Linked DNA regions of Canis lupus familiaris. The protein of the gene in region 2 purifies or fractionates together with the protein of the main gene of each other region. This does not show direct contact. Links are inferred from orthologs where the notes say so. Each region holds a gene or a part of one and is shown on either strand. Other genes may lie near its edges. The genes, in order: WASL, NCK1 and GIT2.

The links.
Region 1: the proteins of NCK1 (region 2) and WASL purify together in Homo sapiens (co-immunoprecipitation; 4 studies listed by BioGRID and IntAct, with this or other methods). This does not show direct contact. The link is inferred for Canis lupus familiaris from reciprocal best matches to the Homo sapiens genes NCK1 and WASL.
Region 3: the proteins of NCK1 (region 2) and GIT2 purify together in Homo sapiens (co-immunoprecipitation; 3 studies listed by BioGRID and IntAct, with this or other methods). This does not show direct contact. The link is inferred for Canis lupus familiaris from reciprocal best matches to the Homo sapiens genes NCK1 and GIT2.

Annotation. Positions count from the first base shown.
Region 1 is NC_049235.1:11,839,690-11,843,948, reverse strand, and holds part of WASL (neural Wiskott-Aldrich syndrome protein), read right to left. Parts: intron 2,206-4,259; coding exon 2,097-2,205; intron 1-2,096. UniProt on the Homo sapiens protein: Regulates actin polymerization by stimulating the actin-nucleating activity of the Arp2/3 complex. Involved in various processes, such as mitosis and cytokinesis, via its role in the regulation of actin polymerization.
Region 2 is NC_049244.1:33,892,307-33,896,665, reverse strand, and holds the end of NCK1 (cytoplasmic protein NCK1), read right to left. Parts: exon of another isoform or gene 4,283-4,359; intron 1,937-4,282; coding exon 1,742-1,936; 3' UTR 73-1,741; downstream 1-72. UniProt on the Homo sapiens protein: Adapter protein which associates with tyrosine-phosphorylated growth factor receptors, such as KDR and PDGFRB, or their cellular substrates. Maintains low levels of EIF2S1 phosphorylation by promoting its dephosphorylation by PP1.
Region 3 is NC_049247.1:17,528,641-17,532,899, reverse strand, and holds part of GIT2 (ARF GTPase-activating protein GIT2), read right to left. Parts: coding exon 4,199-4,259; intron 3,561-4,198; coding exon 3,455-3,560; intron 1,548-3,454; coding exon 1,461-1,547; intron 1,344-1,460; coding exon 1,213-1,343; intron 1-1,212. UniProt on the Homo sapiens protein: GTPase-activating protein for ADP ribosylation factor family members, including ARF1.

The DNA.
Region 1 (4,259 bases), on a different chromosome or scaffold from region 2:
TCCAGGAATAGGCAGGAAACTCACTGACACTAAGCCACTAAGGAAACACAGCAGGCAGTTCAAAAGCCAGCCTCTCTTCCTACCCTCCCTCCTATTCTCTCCTGAACCCAACGACATTGGTCTTTCCAGGTCACCAATGACCTACTGTTGCTAAAGCTAAAGCTCAATTTCCTGTTCTCATTATCTTGACCGATCACACACATTTGACTCAGATCGTCACTCCATCCTCGTTCCAACACTTCATGTATCTTCTAAGACAATACACTCTCCAGCCTTCAGACCTTATTACACCTTCTTTCCCCTTTTACATCCACTTCTTTAATGATCCCAGCCAGTTCTGTAACTTTAAATACCTCACCTATTTTAACAGCAGGTAAATTTATATTAACAGTCCAGACCTTGCCCTTCGATTCCAGGCTCATAACCAAATGCCTGTACAACATCTACATTTGAATTTTTAGTAAGTATCTCAAATTCAATATTAAAAAAAAAAAAAAAACAACCTCCTGATATTTCCTCTCAAACCTTCACTCCTTTCATGCTCATGTCAAAAATCTTGGGGAGTTATCCTTCACTCCTTTTTTCCAAACCTCACTTCCAATCCATCAGCAAACCCAAAGATCTCCAGATTCAAAATATTTCAAGCATCCAACCCCTGCTCACTGGTGCTACCAATCTGATTCAAACCTCTACTGTCTCTTTCCTGGCTCGTTGCCATTCTTCTGCTAAGGACCTTTCAGTGGCCTCCCATGACACTCATGGCCTCCAAAGCCTCACTACTGGCTTCCTACTACCTCTCACACTTCATTACTTTACTGTTCTTTCCCTCCCTTCCTTACTCAGCCATACTGACCTTACTAATGTTCCTAAACCTTAGGGACTTTGCACTTGCTGTTCTTTCCACCTGAATGAACATGTTTTCTACATGGTTTACTCCCTGAACTCCTTCTGGTCTTCTTGCAAATGTCCCATCAGTTATTAGGCCTCATCCTATTTCAAAATGAACTTCCCTCACACATCTTAGAAGTCCCTATATCTCCCTTTTCTGCTTAATTTTTGTCCTCAGTACATAATCATCACTTACCATGTATTTTTCTAACTTAATTTTACTGTTTGTCTCTCACTGGAATGCATGCTCTATGAAGGCCAGGATTTTTGTTTTTTGTTTTTTTAATTCCACGATAAATATTTGTGGAATGAACTAGCCTATTCTATCTTTATTACATAGTATGAGAAGAAAGAGGTCTATTTAAGGAAAACAAATATTGGTAACAGATCCTAGATATCCACATCCTTACAGAGAAACAAAGAGAAGAAAAATGACATTTACTGAGCACCTACTATGTGCTATGTAATCTGCTGGTTACTTACATATTATTTTATTCTTCATATCAATCATGATTCATGAATTCTCTCCATACAACATGTAAGAAAACTGAGGTCCACAGAAAGTAAATAATAGATTAATATGAATAAAGAACTAATTCTGGTCCATCATGCTGGGTAAGCTCTTTAGTAAACCTCAAGTATTACATCAGCAAGACCCACTGCTTTCTCTTTTGAAAGGAATATTCACTTATATGGTGGTGCACATATGCTTAATACTGGCCTCAGAATAGGGACTAGTTTATTCAAATAAACTTTTTAAGAAATCCCAAAAAAGAAGACACAAAAAACTTTAAGATTCGTTAGCAAATCCCAGAAAACCAGTTTCTCAGCCCTGACTCTCACAAATTATGGGAACTTGAATTTCTCATGTCACAAGAATGTCACAGGAATGAAATCCAGAATCTCAAGCCTCGTTTAGAAGTTTGCCAGGCATTTTATTAGTATTTCTGATATAGGAGATGAAATTGCCATTTTTCTTAAGTCGTTCTTCCAATTTATGGTTATGGCTATGGTGTCCTGGAACTCATTAGGCTTCAGATAGATTAGTCACAGTGGCAACAACTTTTAAAAATTTGCCCTAAAATCCACATCAGTGTTACTCAAAAGCAGGGAAAAAGCTAACAGACTATAACAACAACAACAACAATAAATAGAAAATAGAACTTCAAATATTAAAATTAAATATACATATACACATGAAAATATACCTGAAGAATGAATGGCTTTGCTCCTTTTCTGCATTACTTCCATTAATGCACCCACAATTCCTGAAGTGGGTGCAGGTGTTGGTGGTGTAGATTCTTGGCCATCAGATACCTTGGGGAAAAAAAGTTAGCAAAATTTAAAAATAAATTCTTAGCAAAAAATTTTTGTCTCCAAAGTCTTACTTTTTTAGAATCACTTCCTATTAAAAAAAAAAAAAGAGCAAATAAGCAAATGACAGGATTAACTAAGTTAAGAAGAAATAAATTGCTGTCTTAAAATAATTATTCAAGGTATATTTCATTCTCCTTAATGTATAAAGCCACCAACATATTTTATAATTTAGAATAACAAACCTTTCCCTAAATAATACTTGCCCTTACAGCTGGATTATTTCTGTTCATTTTCATTTTAGTACACAAAGCCTTAGCTGATGAAACTTTAAAACTATTATCAAGGAATATCATTTTATAAAACTATGATACCCAGATTCCTGGAGTTGTTAGGTGAGAAGGACACTTAAGATGTCTAAGAGCAACTGAAGAGACTTCTGCTCTCCTAGGAAAACTCAGCTTTACTCACAAGCTTTATAACTTTATATACTTACATTCATACCTCATATGATATTAATATGTAACATTACACACACATATGTGTGTGTGTGTCTGTGTATGTGTATATATAAGCTTTAACTCAAAATAAACTTTCCTTCTCATAGCACAGAACTTCTCTTCAAAGAGGTCAGTTAGGTTAGGTAGCTTTCAAAATGTACCTACCTCACAAGGCTTGAACCAACTATCCCTAACTAAAGTACTTCTATCTAGTATAAACTACATTCAAGGGGGAAAAAAATATCAACCTCAAGGGGTCTCATTAAAATCTAATTTCTGTAAATAATATTCTCTGATCTTAACTCTCATTTAAAAAGAGAGAATACAGGACTCTGTAGAGATTCAGGAAAAAAAATTTCAGAAGTACTGCTCTAAGTGTACTTTAACTAAACTGAGCAATAATTTATACAAAATACTTATTTTGTTTATTTTGTCTCTGGAATTATATTACTTATATAAAGGTAGAATACTGGTATAATTAAAAATGAATAATAAATATAAATAATAAATATAAATATAAATAATAGTGAAAGGGAATATAAGGGAAGGGAGAAGAAATGTGTGGGAAATATCAGAAAGGGAGACAGAACATAAAGACTCCTAACTCTGGGAAACGAACTAGGGGTGGTGGAAGGGGAGGAGGGCGGGGGATGGGGGTGAGTGGGTGACAGGCACTGAGGGGGACACTTGACGGGATAAGCACTGGGTGTTATTCTGTATGTTGGTAAATTGAACACCAATAAAAATTATTTTATTAAAAAAATGAAATCATACAGTTGTTTCAATTCTAAATCATTTTCAAAAGAAAAAGAATTTTCTTAGGGCAAACTTTTTATTTTGGTCTTTACAACTTTTCTAATACTACTACTTGTCTTTCTGGACTTACAGATCTTTTTCTTTTAAAAATATTCAAAGTAATTCTCCATAAGATACTGACTCATTCATTAGTATTTAGGTGTTGGCCTCATGTCAGCAGAAGGCCATCAAAGGAGTGCGGCAGCCATAGGCAGAAAGACGCCCTTGAAGAAGCTGGCAATACCAAGCATGGCATGGGTAGCACGGTAGGAGCACAACACTACCATAAATACGTCTTCTAAAGCACTGACTTGGACACAGTGCTGTTTAGGTACTGTGAACATGGAATTCAAAATATATGTAAGTGAATACCTATACACTTTCTGTCAGCTCTTTAAGTAAATCTGATCTTATGCTAGTCATTTTCATCACTGAATAAATGATTTATATAGACAGTTTAAAGAAACACAGAGAAATTTCAACCACAGAATGGTTTCTTAAAAAATGAAATAAAATTATGGTCTCAGATCACATATATAATATGCTAATAATTTACTGACTTATGCCCTTTAGGATATTACTCTGCAGCTAATTTTTTTAAAAAGTGATTATTTAGGGTAAGGATGGCCTATGCTTAGAATGGAACACATTTTTCTCTCTAAAAAATGTAGAGATCTACTTACAAGGTGTTTTGGGCAGGGAGAGAGTGGGATGGGATGGGATGGGATGGGAAGAAGTAATGACAGGGAAAATTAATAGGGA
Region 2 (4,359 bases):
TACTACCTAATCATATTTATAACACTTTGAAACTATTTTCTTCAACTTATATTCAAGTGATTTTACAGCAAAAACAGGTAAGCACATGACTTTTATTTCTATTACAATTGTCTACTAATAATCATCTCAATAAACAAAGAGAGACTGACAAAGATAATGAAATATGAACTAAAAGGCTTTAAAAGTAGATGTGGTGAAAATAAAAAATTGTACATCAATGCTTTAATTGTATTTGCTGACTCCTATTGCTTAGTGGGAGAAGCCAGGGCTGCCACCCAGTGGCAATGTAAGTCTTCAAATGATTTTAAGAGTTAAAGAATAAAAATTACTTAAAATAATTAAAAAAAATAATCCAAAAACCTCAGGAATTAGACAATTTCAATTTTAACATCAGTAATTTTGGTGTATTAAATACTTATCTATAACACATTAAAGAATAGAAACATTCATTTGCTTAGGCCGCACTGGGGAAATTTTTAAAAATACCATAAGATTTCCTAATACTGAAAGTAATTTTGCTTAAATTTAAATTCCAGAACAAATTATGTCGGAGAGGATAGCTAAGACCACAAAATACAGCTGTTTTCTTCTGTGACCTGCAGAAGTAGATTCAATACTCTATAGTAGCCTCTCATTCATACACCCAAGCTTCTGTTTAGTAAACAAAAACAATAGAAACTCTCCAAAAGTAAGATTTCAAAAATAACCTTCTCTAACCATTTGGCACATCCCATCTTTTCCTCAGGTATGATCAATTTTAGTGTCTCAGTCAACAAAACTCAAAGCTGAAAGGAGGAAAAGAAAATAGCAGAAATACTATACCTAATACTGATAGACATGTTTGGGGAGGGGAGACAAGTATCTCACTGCCTCCTACTTCCCCAACATTTGGCTGCAGCTTTTTTCACACTGACACAGATACAACATGCCCCAATACAAGATGCTTTGTCAAAATAACACTAGGGGAAAAAAAAAAACATAACACTAGGGCATCCATTTATAGTTTAAAAAGCTAAATATCTCAGAGACTGCTTTATTCTCTTAAATAACCAGGTAAGAAGCAACCCCACAAAAAAGTCCTAGAAGTTTAGATTTTTGTTTCCAACAGTTGCAAATTAAAAGTGTACAAGATACGTTTTCAAACCTATGTCCCATTTGTTTTGCTTTACAATGAAGACAATGAATATTTTTTAAAAATGGCAGACACAACATACTTGATATTTACAATGGCTTGCAACAAATACCTGAAAATAATTTCTAATTATCCATTTATTATTGCTATTTAGTCACAGAAAAGAACATTGTCCAAGAAATTTATTTTAGCATATGCCATATACTGATATAATAATTTTATATGAAGAGAAACCATTGCAGAAGTGACCTAAATATGGTGCCCTTACAAGGAAATAAAGAAAAAAACCAATAAATTCTTCCATGTAAAGACTTTCGATCTGCATCATCTTTAGAAAATATAAAACCTTAATATTAGAAGCAAAGAGAAAAACAGACAAGAAACAATAAAACAGAAGACCAAGGATAAGGAACTGCTTTATGCAGATGCTTTGCATATGTAGTATATATGTATGGGCTGAGTTATAATAAAAATACTTATGTATCACACTCAATTCTCATGTAGAGTCAGAAATCAATTTCCAATCAAATATGATTGGATTGACATTTTCTCAGTCTTCAATTACATGATGAGTTATAGCTTTATAGCAGTCACTTCTGGTCAGCATTATCATGACAAATGCTTGATAAGATACAGTTTTTCTCCTTGTTCACTTGTAAAAATTGGTGCCTTTTTGTAATGTTCTACAAGTTCTTCCATGGTGCTGAATTTACGCTGCCCAATGCAGTAGACAGTCTCTTTTAGTTGGACTTTAAAATGCTTGTTTTTCCCTTGTGCTTTTAGTGATACAGAGAAATCATTTGGCTAAAAGAGAAAAAAATACATAGGGTAAACATTTTGAAAGATATCTATTAGCATTTTTATATTACACTAATAATAATAAAGTGCTCAAATCTTAGCTAAGTACTAGGCACTATGCTATTTACATAGATTATCTCCTTTACACCTCTAACCAACCCTTTTTAGAGATGACAAAATCAAGGCCAAGAAAAGCTAAGTTGCTCAAAATCATCCATGTAGTTAACAAGACAGCCAGGATGCAAACCCAAGCAGCCAGACTCCAAAGTCTCTTAAATAATATGCTCTAACACCCATGGCAAATCCTTTAGTTTAACATCTGAAGCACAAGAGCTATCTTCTCTCCTTCAGACAACTGGAGAAACACATGAGAAAACATGAGTTAATGTGAGCTAACAGTAGCTATCTCATAGACTAGCTCAGATATTCGGCTGAATTCTTAAAGACAATAGACACTAATGAGAGGTCATAAACTCAAATGCCTACAAGGGTCAAAAGACATATAAACAAATGACAGGGTGGACAGAGAGAAGGAACAGTGCATGGCCAATTTAAAGAAAGTGGCCACTTAGTGGTGATTGTTGTCTTGTAGAAATACAGGCAAGGTTGGCAGGCCTTCCAATTTTATTTTTATTTATTTATTTAAAAAAAAGATTTATTTATTCATTCATTCATTCATTCATTCAGGGGGAGGGAGGGAGGGGGGGGGAGAGAGATAGTAGAGACACAGGCAGAGGGAGAAGCAGGCTCCATGCAGGAAGCCTGACACGGGACTGGATCCCGGGTCTCCAGGATCACACCCCGTGCTGCAGGCGGCGCTAAACCGCTGCACCCCGGGGCTGCCCAGGTCTTCCAATTTTAAAAGGAAGTCTGTCACCTGACTTTTTATAGTAAATTTCCCAATATTTAAATACTGGTAACAAATTCAAATGTTTAAAAAACATTGTTCATGTCAAACAAAATATCCTGTTTGAAATCTTTACTTTAAAAATTCTAGGGATGCTTGGGTGGCTCAGTGGTTGAGCATCCCTTCAGCTCAGGGCCTGATCCTGGGGTCTCAGGACTGAGTCCTGCATTGGGCTCCCCGCAGGGAGCCTGTTTCTCCTTCTGCCAATGTCTGCCATTCTCTGTTTCTCATGAATAAATAAAATCTTAAAAAAAAAAATCCTACTGCTAAAAATGATGGTGCATGTTGGCTAATATCCATGCTCAATTACCCACCAAGAAAACAGTGTTTTGTAACCAAGCTACTTTCTTACTTTTTGTTGTTTTTTTTAACCTAAACACTTTTCTGAACAGTCTAAAAGTTTTATATAGTTACTGACAAAGTTTCAAATAGTGGGCTTCTTGGAAACATCCTATACCTATGGTTACTCTTATCACCTGCTCTAAGGTCACTCATTTCCTAATGCTTCTTGCTCACTGCTTGTCCTAGAAAGATAGATCAAGTCAGGCATCTAACAGAAAACAAATCCCACCACTGTTCCCTATCATTGATCCTGCTCTTCCTGAGGGGTTATGTACAGGCCTCATTTCCTGAACTTCATATCAAGCAGTTCAATTACCTCTCTTTTCTTCCCTCCCTTTTATAAACATATACACGCTATACGCAAGTGCACATACACACACCAGATAAGTTTTCTTCTGACTTTAAATCTTTTCTACAATCACACATTCACATTTATAGAACTACATACACAGAAACAAAGCCAATACTAATGATCTGAAAACTGGAAAAGTAGTGGTATCCTTTTAAAAGGAAAAATAAAGACCAGTTAAATGAATAGGACCAAATTCTAATATTCTAAACAGTAATCAAAAGAGCCTACATAACTATTATTCCATTTTTATGGTTTCATAGTTTTACTAATATTAGAAAAAATATCTTTTATTGCAAATACATTTCAAAAACAGTGAGTATTAAAATAGGTTTCTGAGGTAAATAATAAAAGTGTATTCCAACTTCCAAACAACCAATCTATGAACAAACTTAAATCTCAATTTCTTTAATTTAGGGATTTCCTTTTATAAGGATGACAGCACATCCAATATGCAATTTAAAAAATGTTTTCTCAGGTGCACCTAGGTGGCTCAGTCAGTCAATCTTCTGACTCTCGATTTCAGCTCAGGTCATGATATCATGGTCGTGAGATTGAGCCCCGAGTCAGGCGCTGCATTGAGTGTGGAACCTGCTTGAGATTCTCTTTTCTCCTCTGCCCCTCCCCACACACATGTGGGTGCACATACTCTCTTCCTCTCAAGAAAAAAAAAAAAAATTTCCCCCAGTTTAGTCCATTGCATTGTTTTAACTCTGAACAGAGAAGTCACAGTTCAGTTTTCTCCATTTTTCAGTGTAATGCAACAGAAGATATTTCAGAAATGCAAGACCAAAAGAATTCAAAAGGCCAAATAATCCAGCATAGTTTAAT
Region 3 (4,259 bases), on a different chromosome or scaffold from region 2:
CACTACAAAATATTCCTCTGACCTACCACACGTTTGATTTCTGAGATACGGATCTCTTTCCCTCATTCTTTTTAAATAGCTGTGAAATCAGGAAGTATACTACAATTGATGGTACATCATCATTTAATCAGCTAAGTTGTTCTTAAGTGGTAGGTGACATAATGACGACCCATATAGTCAGTGGAGTCTCAGATCTAGGAAATACTATATTCCTCAATACCCAAGTTCTTATTATTCCTAGACACACTCTGCTCCATCCAGTAAACTCCTCTGCTGTGCTGAAAATGCCCTGTCCATCCCTCCCTCCTGAACGTAAACTCAATCCTTCTCTTTCACTTGGAATGTCTTAGCTTCTCCTTCACACACCCAAATCCAACCCATTTTTTAAAGACCAACTAAAGAAGTTTCTTACTAACTTAGGTCAAAACGAAGAAACCCTACATATGCCTTTTAAGACCAGTTATCCATTTTGGCAATGAATTCCACATTATCTTGCCTCCTTTAACTCTTTCATGTATTTATGAATCATCTCCTCCATGAGATAATAAATTCTGGGAAGGCACAATTTTGGCATTTCACCCATTTTATCCTCTGCAGAACAGTAGAATGCTTTGCAGTTGATAAAAAATTAATTTGGAAAAAGAAAGATGAGCCATCTTCTACCATTTAAATGATATTCAAGGCTAACATGGATTTTTTTATTTTTCCAGCATTTCACAAAGTTTTTAAAACAAGAAGAAACTTAAGGAATTTTATTGCAAGCACCCAGACATCTGCTACCTAAAACCTATAATTAACATTTTACTATTACTTGTTTAATCGCCTACCTATCTATATAGCTCTGTTTTTTAAGTTCAAGCAATGACTAAACATATTAAGAAACTGAGGAGTGGGTTTTGCAATTCTTGATACTTGCTTTGGACTATGGCTCAAATACCATTGCATTAGAAGTCATTTGAAAGACTGGAAGCTAAGCACACTGGAAGCTAAGCACATTAGCTAAGCTAATGGTTCTATCTCCTCCAACTCTGCCAGGCTCTGAGCTCTTATGTATTTGAAATGCTTTCATCTGTAAAATAATGGGAGATGTATATCCTTAACTTAAAGGGGTTAAATGTTAATCATACACAATTTAGCCACCAACAATGAATAATACCCAACATAAATAATCCCTAACCAAAGATGCAGTGACAAGAAATCTAGGTCTCTCACCTTGCATAATCCACAGGAGTTTTTCCACTAGAATCCTGTGTGCCTGGGTCTGCTCCATATACTGCCAATAATTCTGCCTGTAAAATCTGCCCTGCTTTGGAGGCAACGTGGAGTGGGGTGTTTCCTTTTTCCTGAGAAATATTAATAAAAAGTAGATTAACAAGCAAATTAAATAAAACTAAAGGCTACAACAAACACAACCCACTTAGTTTCAATTTAGTATCTGAATCAATTCATGCTTTTCTCACAGGGTGAAAGAAGTTGGCTTGTGCTCCTAAAGATAACAGCCTCAAACAGGTTTCAAGATTCCCTGTTCTCACGCTTGAATGAAGTTGCTGAAAAACACACAAATCAAAAAAGTATTTGTTAAAAGTGTAAAGAATGGTATACTATAGCAGCTGGCAGATCATTTTAATATACATTATATTAGTGATAATCAGTTATTTAGCTCAGTAAGCCTCTCCCTTGCTGGTCACAACCACTCCAGAGCTCTAAGGTGGGGCCAGGTCCATTTTACTGATAAGGAAATAAGGATGGGAAGGCTGATTTGCCCAAATGCACAATCTAAGTGGTACAATCAGACCTGAAGTGAAAGGGGGTATGAGAAGATAGGTGAACACAGCTCTGAAGTCTCAAAGACCTGAAGTTAAAACCATATACCCTTCAAGTTGTGTGACCTTGTGGAAGTTCTTTAAACAATCTGAACCTTAGTTTTCTCAGCTCTAAAATGGTGAAAACAATGCCACTTATTCAAGGATTACTGTAAGGAGTCAATGATATAACAAAATGCTCAGCATGGAGCCTGGTATACAGGAAACACTCAAAGAATACAACTGCTGTTATTATAATCATTATTATTTGTTGTTGTTATTTAACCTAGGGCTTTAGGGCTGCGTACCCCATGCTGTAAACTACTGGATTCTGCTTTATAGCACACCCTCTTCATAACAACATTCTTGGCCTTGTATATAATACTTTAACAAAATCTTTCAGGCTGGGAAATAGGCCTGGTGTATACCAAATTCTGTACCACTGCAGAAAAGCTCTTAAACATGCAGAAGATTAGCTGCTTTTTTCAAGTCTAACCTAGAATTGTCTAAAATGCAATAACCCTTATTATAAAAATGCAGAAGTCTACTCCAGCATCTATATCCACACCTTATTTTTACAATTAATGTATTTAATATTCTTAAGTTGTGGTAAAAACCCCATGCCAAGCTTATTAACGGAAGTAACAGTTATATATGTTTTCTATGCAAAGTTTAAAATTCCTTTTTTTTTTTTTGCAAAGTTTAAAATTCTGATTGCAAGTGTCCAAGCTCTGTGCGAACATTTCCTAAAAGCAGTGCTTTGAAAATAAAAATGCATGTTTCTCATGGCATCTCTCAAAATCATGCAAAGGCCCACATAAAGAAAACCATCTACTCATTTTACAAGTATAATAAAGAATCATAAGCACTACAGCTTTCAGTCATCCTGCTTCCTGAAGATCCTACTCAGTATGCAACCCAGAAACCTAAAGAGGTCCCTCGAACTTTCTAGTCCCTTCTAGAAACAAACTCAAGGGATGGTTCCTATTTTAAAGTTAAATGAAAAACTTTTAGGGATACAATTTTAGGGGTGTCTGGGTGGCTCAGTTGGTTAAGCGTCTGTCTTCGGCTCAGGTCATGATCCCAGGGTCCTGGGATCAATTCAGTGGGGAGTCTGCTTCTCCCTCTCCCTCTCTCTCTGCCCCTCCACCTGCTCGTGCTCACCTTCCCTCTCTTTTTTAAAAAAGATTTTAATTATTTGAGATAAAGATTTTATTTATTTATTTGAGAGACAGAGAGATAGTGAAAGAGAGAACATGAGCAGTCGGGAGAGGGAGAAGCAGGTTCCCTGCGGGGTTCAATCAGAGGATCCTGGGGGCCATATCCTGAATTGAAGGTAGGTGCTCAACCAACTGAGCCACCCAGGTGCCTCAAGAAATATAATTTCAAAACCATTTCTGAAAAACATAAATAATTTTCTAGATACATACTTATTTTTCCTTGTACCTCCTTGTACCTCCACTAACATAGAATGGCTGCCATTTGAACTAAAATTAAAGATGTAACCAACTGCAAAAAAGGTTGTTATTAATTATTTAGAGTACAGAAAGTTTCTGTTTTGTTTTTCTTTTCTTCCTCTTTAAGTTTTTTTCAAACAAAACAATATATCATTTGATCCAGCAGTTTTAGGGATTTTAAAAAGTGTGACCCACCTTGCTAAGATCTTTGGCAGTCATACTGTCATCATCCCGGCAAGGCAAGCGATGGACAAATGCTAACATCTGATATTTGGCTCTGATGAATTCTGCTTTATTAGGACTGATTACCACCCAGAAAAAAAAGAAAGAAAGAAAGCTGCTTACTTGCAGTTCAGATGCAACATTTCCCATTCTTTAGGCCGTAAAAAGAAAAGGAAGTGACCCATATCCCCTACTAGAGAAGAAAATGAATGACACTGAAATAAGTTCCAGCAGGAGTTTAAGACCTGAAGTCTCAAAACATCAATTAGTCATTCTAAAGGCCAGGACTGCAGAATACTTGCTTTTTAGAGCTTCTCTCTTTGTAATTTTCTTAACTGACCTACAGCCTTGTGAGGAAGCAGCATTGTATCCCATCCTATAGGTGAGGCATCAGGCAGACCAGAGCCCAGAATGGAGATTTTTGGTCTGATTGCCTCTTGTTTGAGCACCTAAGCTTAAATCAGATTACATTAACAGTCTCTGAGCATTAGTGTCAAACTGGAGAAGCCACTGACTTGTGCTGTACAACCATGCAAAAGAGATGGTCCTGTGCCTGGCCTTGTTCTGCATTCCTAAGAGCAGAGAGCTCAACGCACAATTGGGGTGTAACCACCTCCTGTGCTGCCCTTGTGGGGGCTGGTCCAAAGTAGCTGCACTCCTTTTAGTGGGCCCCAAGTGTTATGAAGAAATAAAAGTATTTATAAACATTCCACTCACTGTACTTTATCCTGTGGATTAGCTTTACGTCTTCCGCTCATAATAGAGGCAGGGTCCAGCA